Danio rerio: one gene and its partner. The protein of the gene in region 1 interacts with the protein of each later gene in a pairwise test. Links are inferred from orthologs where the notes say so. Each region holds a gene or a part of one and is shown on either strand. Other genes may lie near its edges.

The links. The genes of interacting proteins can lie anywhere in the genome.
Region 2: the proteins of lhx9 (region 1) and khk interact in binary tests that used the Homo sapiens proteins (3 or more experiments, as listed by UniProt). The two-hybrid records come from large-scale screens. The link is inferred for Danio rerio from reciprocal best matches to the Homo sapiens genes LHX9 and KHK.

The regions. Positions count from the first base shown.
Region 1 is NC_133197.1:23,080,439-23,084,473, reverse strand, and holds the start of lhx9 (LIM/homeobox protein Lhx9), read left to right. Parts: upstream 1-1,235; 5' UTR 1,236-1,519; coding exon 1,520-1,693; intron 1,694-2,455; coding exon 2,456-2,658; intron 2,659-3,111; coding exon 3,112-3,467; intron 3,468-4,035. UniProt on the Homo sapiens protein: Involved in gonadal development.
Region 2 is NC_133192.1:13,617,026-13,620,547, forward strand, and holds part of khk (ketohexokinase), read left to right. Parts: intron 1-774; coding exon 775-847; intron 848-981; coding exon 982-1,128; intron 1,129-3,385; coding exon 3,386-3,474; intron 3,475-3,522. UniProt on the Homo sapiens protein: Catalyzes the phosphorylation of the ketose sugar fructose to fructose-1-phosphate.

The DNA of each region.
Region 1 (4,035 bases):
ACCATAACGAATAGTTGGATTAAGGTTGCTATCAATTATTTATTTTTTATTATTCTTAAGTAGTTTTACGATCATCCCTCGTATATATTCGTACAGAAAAATAAATTGTGGCAATGGGATTCAATTGACGTTTGACATCTGAAAAATCAAAGAATGTAAACAACTGCTTATTCCTCCTCCCAACAGCATCGCTCCCCTTCCCTCGCTTGCTCCTTTCTCTCTTTCTCCCGAAAACACACATGAAGAGAAAGACCATCATACACAGACACACACCTTTATGAAACATTCTGACAACTTTTTAAATTATGCCACCACTTTAGTCCATTTTAATTGTACATATATCATACAATGTACTTAAAGGATTAGCGTCTTTTATACTTTACATTAACCTGAATTCATGCAGTACAAGATATATATATATATATATATATATATATATATATATATATATATATATATATATATATATATATATATATATATATAATATATATATATATATATATATATATATATATATATATATATATATATAAACTCCCAATAGCAGAAAAGAATATTACGTTATATATATATATATATATATATATATATATATATATATATATATATATATATATATATATATATATATATATATAACGTAATATTCTTTTCTGCTATTGGGAGTTAATTATGAATGACACTCGCGATAAACTAACAAGCAACTCTCTGACAATTTTCAAATACATTTTTCCAAGAAGACTCAAAACTACAAGAGAGGTCAGATGAAGTACAGTATTCACAGTCTCAATAATTTAACATTAATTTTAATTAGACGCATTTACAGACACTAAAACTACATGAGAAAAAATAAAAACCTAACAAAAAGTGTCACAACGTCTCTGAAAGGAACTAAACGTCCACACCAAGTGTTTTTAGTGTTCACAATCTCAATTAAACACTTATTTTAGCTACACGCATTTACAAAAGCTTAAAACTACATGAAAAAATAGAAGGCCTTGCAAAAAAAATCAAAGTGGCAAAACACCAGTTAAAAAGGAAGTAAAAGGTCTATACCAAGTGCTTTCCAAGCTCGTGTTGCCCATCACCATCGGTTTGAAGAGAGAGTGACAGGTCTTTGTTGGTGAATAGAAATCAGTGGCATTGGAGAGAGGGAGGACTCCTCCTACCCAATTACCCAAGCTGGGCAGGCGTTTGCTCTCTTCACAAATAGGACACAGGATCTCTAACACACACAGTCCCAAACCCGACTTTCACGCATTCGGATCCTCAGTTGGAGATTGGGACTATCTGAAAACCCACGTTTAAAACATCCTCCAGACTTCAGTTTTGCCTTATATCATCCGGACTATACTTTTTTCTGACGTTGGAGAAAGTGGACTGGTTCTCCTGACTGTTCCTGCGCCGTCCATCAAATTCCACCGGCTTAATATTTTTGTAACACATTGATTGCATTTTGTTGTGAATCTGTTGGTGTAGATCCACTCGGATGTTTTAAGGATCCGGAAAGCTGTATATGGAAGTTGTGGGGTGCAAGGCGAAAGAAAGCAGTTGCACATTGCGTCCAGCAGCCATGCTTTTCCACGGCATCTCTGGGGATCATATTCAAGGGATCATGGAGGAGATGGAGAGGAGATCTAAATCGGAGTCTCGACTAGCAAAAACCGTCCAGATGAACGGACGGGAGACGGTAAGAATTTGTGTTTTGGCGTGCATTTTACGTTAAAGCAAATGTCAAACTCTCCCGTCGCTATATACACCTCATAGTTTGTAACCCACTTTTAAAAACGTAGCGAAAACATTTGTACGATTTTAAAACATTAGCAGGCCTCTGGAAACATGCAAAAAGTAATTACGGAGGATATCAATAACATCTGAAATGCCTAAGAGTAACTATAAAGCATGAAGAGAGTTATATGCCAAAATTAAATTTCACATTTGAGCCAAAATCTACAGACATTTTATTTTATTTTAGCAGTTTCACAACATTCCTTATATTTATTTTAGGGGTAAGATGTCCAAAAACGACAAAAATAAGATCAATATGTTTTTGCCAAGCAAGTGACAAAATATTTAACAGTTAATAACCTGTAGGCTTGTATTAAATTTAATAATAATTTTTGTGATAAGAAATAGTCATTTTTCGTTAACATTTTTTAAATTATATTTTAGACTAGGCACTCATTAAAATGAAATCAAAGCACAGAACAAACAAAACATGCAATGTGTAGTTATGCATCATATCTAGTTTTGGTTTGATAATTGAGAAAGCTCACTCATAATTTTATTAAAAACATAAAAATAATAAATATACAGTTTCATTTAGTATGCTTTTGAATTTACTTTAAGTTCTATATCTATAATGGCAAACTCATTTACTGTGGTGTATTTTGATTAACGCCGAAACCTTTATTTACTCCACCAATTATGTTTTTTTTTTTTTTTTTTAAAGACTATGCCCTCCATGAGCCCAGAGAAGCCTGCGCTGTGCGCCGGCTGCGGTGGTAAAATCTCCGACAGATACTACTTACTCGCCGTTGATAAACAGTGGCATTTAAGGTGTCTCAAGTGTTGTGAATGTAAACTGGCCCTTGAATCCGAACTGACGTGTTTCGCAAAGGATGGCAGCATTTACTGCAAAGAGGATTACTACAGGTAAGCATTAACTTTGAGGCTTAAATCTTGCGTTAGGCCTGTTTAGTAGGCCTAACTTTTTTTTTCGAACACACATAAAGGCTGGTGACATCTGAGCTAGTGTAAGCCATTGACCCATATAGTGATCTTCAGTGATTAACTGACACGCCTAAATTAATCTAATAAACCTAATTAATTCATGCTCAGTGCGTCTATTTTTCTATTCAATTTTTAGCCAGTTGTTTTTTTTAAGGAAAACGAATTATGTCAGACTATAGAAGATACAACCATTTTTCCAAATAAATGTACACATATATAAATAATAGCAAATGCGTGCATTTAAAAGATTTTGATTAATAAAAATATCTAAATTTCACGTGCACCCGCTTTTTATATGTTAAACGTATTTGTTAATGACATACTAAATGTTTTCATCAATCTATGTTTGATTGTAAATGGTGTGTGCTGTTCCAGAAGGTTCTCCGTGCAGAGATGTGCCCGCTGCCACCTCGGCATATCCGCTTCGGAAATGGTGATGCGCGCCAGGGACTCCGTGTACCATCTGAGCTGCTTCACCTGCACCACATGCAACAAAACACTGACCACGGGTGACCATTTCGGCATGAAAGACAACTTGGTTTACTGCCGGGTTCACTTTGAGACCCTTATTCAGGGAGAGTATCACCCTCAATTAAACTACGCTGAATTAGCGGCCAAAGGCGGAGGGCTTGCGCTGCCTTACTTCAATGGCACCGGCACGGTGCAGAAAGGAAGGCCACGAAAGAGGAAGAGTCCGGCGATGGGGATTGACATCGGCTCTTACAGCTCAGGTGAGATGTCAATTTACAGCTGCTCAGTGGCGTTGCTCACCATTTATTTTGGTTTATTTCTGAGTGTTCGTGTTCGTTTTGTTAGCGGAGTAATTTGATTCTTAATTCGAATCTTTCGGCTTTCGAAAAAGACGATCAGGACAAATTAATTCAATTAAACTGTTGTTCAAATAGATATCAATATTAGCCTACTTTTAAATGCAAAAGTCTAATAATTGTGTCAAGTGTCTTTATATGTTTGATTATAATATAAATGCATTCTCGGCTGTATTTTTAGAGTTTTCAGTTTGTGCAAAATTAGCCTACATTTAAAAAAAAAAAACGACATTATTAAAAATAAAAGATATGTAGGCTACTGGCATCAGTTTCACGAACTGTCCTTTTTAATATCATAAAAGCTTTTTTATATAAAAAATATTTTTAATTATAATTATTTTTAGGTATTTTTTATCTTTAAACATTTTTTTTTTGCTAAAAAGCTTATTTAGGCACCACAGACATCTTTAATGGCATTACTGTTAAAAAACAACATTTAGTTCGTCCTGGCACATTTATTTTTAAGATAACG
Region 2 (3,522 bases), on another chromosome or scaffold:
GAATGTTCACTTTCCACATACTATGTCCAAATATTGCAGTTTAATGACCACTAAACAGCACAACCGAGCAATTACTGGCAACTGCATTTATAGCAGTACCACATAATAATACTATTTAATCTCAAATCAATATATAATTGTAATTGTTTCTATTTATTTGTCAAGCAGCCGTGTAATAAGTGGGATGATCCAGTTAGATGCTCATTATCTCAAAATAAACCTTATGCAGAATGATACAAAACTCTCTGTTGAGGTTTGTTTATGCACACTAGTGGACTGTACAGTATCATTTACTTTTATTTGCTTTGTCTGTATAGCAAATTAACATATAAAACCAGCTCTTATTTTCATTTCTGCCTTAAATAATGTTTCTCATGACTACAACCTGTTCTGAAAACTTCCAAATCCATTTCCTTGTCTATGAGGAGAAGCACACATTGGCTTATAATCACTGTTATCTTATAATAACAGCCTGAAGCTGACTATTTGTCTGCGCTGATGACTGTTATTGAATGCTTTTCTGTATACAAACTGACAGGCATCCGCTCTAGAGCAGTAATCTAAGGTTTTTCCACTGCAGATCTTGCACTGATTCACTTTGTGACAGTAAATAGTTTTGTATTATATGATTACAGCGAATCATATCAAAATAATAGAGAGTGATTATGACCTATCAGGAACATTTCATAAACTGACCATTCTCTGTGAACACCTGATTGTTGTAGTCTAAAATCTAAAAAGCACTTTCATCAGCTATTCTCTTTGTTTAATCAGAAACTTGCCAGATGTTTCTGTAGAAGATTTTTCAAAGGTGGATCTGAGCCAATACAAGTGGGTCCACTGGGAGGTGAGCGGGTCCGCCAAATATCTTTCATTTGCTACATATTAAAACACACTGAAACGTCATTTAGTTACTTCTGATCTTTATTTTATTCCACAAGTGGAGAGCTAGAGCTGATTGTTTTATGAATGTTTTGTCAGGGCCGTAATGCTGACGAACAAGTGAAGATGATTGAGAGGGTGAGAGAGTATAACAAAAAACAAGACGAGAAGAACAGAATCGCCATCTCAGTGGAAATCGAGAAGACCAGGGAGCCGCTCTACCAGCTTTTTCCTCTGGGTGATTTGGTATGATTAAACTCTTGCGAATAAAAAGTTGATCATTATTTTGATTTTAATTAATTTCTTTGTTTTGTGGTTTATTAACTTTGGATTTATTAACTGAATAATAGTCAAATGTTGATTGTGATTTTGGCCAGTTTACACATTAATAACCCTTTAACAGGCATCTTAACCACATGGTTTACCTTTTATCCATAGGTTATTATAATTTTTTTAAATTGCTTAATTTTGTTGATGAGAGTTGTGTCAGTATATTATTTAATACAAGATGTGGGCCAAATAATATTTTAAAGGAGTGCACCTTAAAGCTTTAATAAAAATCTATATTATTAAAAAATATTGATCATCCGTCTGCGCCAATAGCCTAGTGGTTAAGTGCACTTACATATAGCACCATGGTGCTCACGATGACCCGAGTTCGATTCCCAGCTCGGTCCTATGTTGACCCTTCCCCTCTCTCTGTTTTCAACTATTTCCTGTTAATTCTATGCACTTTTTTTATCCATTAAAAGTTAAAACCCCCTAAAAATAATTATAAAAAAAGTATAGATCATCCAATCAGCAGATTAAATGATTTCTAAAGGATTTTGTTAGGGTTATGAAGGATTGTGTGTTTACCAACCTATTTTGTCCAGCTACGTGCCTAATTAACCTTAGTTAAGCCTTTAAATTGGACTTTTAGCTGAATACTACAGGGTTTCCATGCTTTTTGAAAGCACTTGAATTGCAGACATATGGATTCAAGGCCTGGAAAGTACTTAAAAACAAACAGGTCCTTAAAAGTGCTTGAACTATTCATTGATTTTCCTTTGGCTTAGACGCTATTTATTAAGGGTCACCAAAGTGGAATAAAACCCCAACTTATCCAGCATATGTTTTACAGCGGATTCCCTTCCAGCTGCAACCCAATGCTGGGAAACATCCACACACACTCAAACACTTACACCACAACCAGTTTAGTTTATTCAATTCACCCTTTTCAACTGACCCAGCCAGGACTTTAACCAGCAACGTTCTTGCTGTGAGGCAACAGTGCTGACTACTGAGCAACCGTGTCACCCTGCTTAAATTATATTTGAAATAAAATTTGTTTATAGTGTTATTTCAATAATTGTACTGTGCAGCTGTCAAAAACAGAATAATAATAAAAAACTTTTAAATCTTAAATTATAATCTGACAAATAACGCACGTTTTAGCAAATTTATTTATAACCAAGATTGAATTCAACTAATTTTATTAAAGTTTTAAAACGGTCAACATAAACATTAACTGTAAGTGAAGAATTCAGTATGGACTTTCATTCTGCTACACATGCTGGGCTGTGAATTACAAAGGTGCTTGATTTAAAATGAATGGTGCTCTAAAAAGTTCTTGAAAGTCTGAATCTGGTAACCATAAAAGACTCGGAAGCCTTATACTATTGTTTAGCAAATTTACTAGTACAATATTGTGTTCTGTCATCATATCAATGACAAGAAATTAGATATTAGAAATTAGCTATTGGGTGGCGTGCTGGTGCAGTGGGTAGCGCTGTTTTCTCACAGCAAAAAGGTTGCTGGTTCGAGTCTCGGCTGAGTCGGAGGGCATTTCTGTGTGGAGTTTGCAATGCATTGTCTCCTCGTGTTCGCATGGTGTTCCTCCGGGTGCTCCGGTTTTCCTCACAAGTCCAAAGACATGCATTATAGGTAAATTGGGTAAGCTAAATTGTCCGTTGTGTATGTGTGTGAATGAGTGTGTATGGGTGTTTCCCAGTGATGGGTTGCAGCTAGAAGGTCATACGCTGCGTAAAACATATGCTAGATAAGTTGGCGGTTCATTCCGCTTTGGCAACCTCAGATTAATAAAGGCACTAAGCCAAAAAGAAAATTAATGAATGAATGAACTATTGTTTAAAAAATCTTCTCTGTTAAACAGCATTTGGGAAATCTTTGAAAAATAATTGAAATTTCACAGTAGGGATCATAGTTTTGTTTTATACATTTTAATGCACACTTAGTTTATGAAAACATTTAAAGAAGTTAAGCTTTCCGTACTGCACTGTTACATGGAGATGAAATTAAAATATCTAATAAATATGAAGTATATAGTAGACACAATGTTTAATAAATGAACATGCATGGAGCTCAAAATTTAAACAAGCCTGTGTTGTTTTCTTTTTAAATTCTGTAGAAATTCGAATGTGATGTATTATATACAGGCCAGCTATTAAGCTTGCATACATGTTTGGACACCGCATAACCTGTGTTATCTGTTTTCACTCAGGTCTTTGTTAGTAAGGATGTGGCCCAGCACTTTGGGTTCGACTCAGCTGCTGCAGCACTGAAGGGTTTCAGTGGTCGACTGAAGAAGGGGTGAGTCTGTCTCCTAAAATGACCACTAGATGTCACTAGTGTTACAAA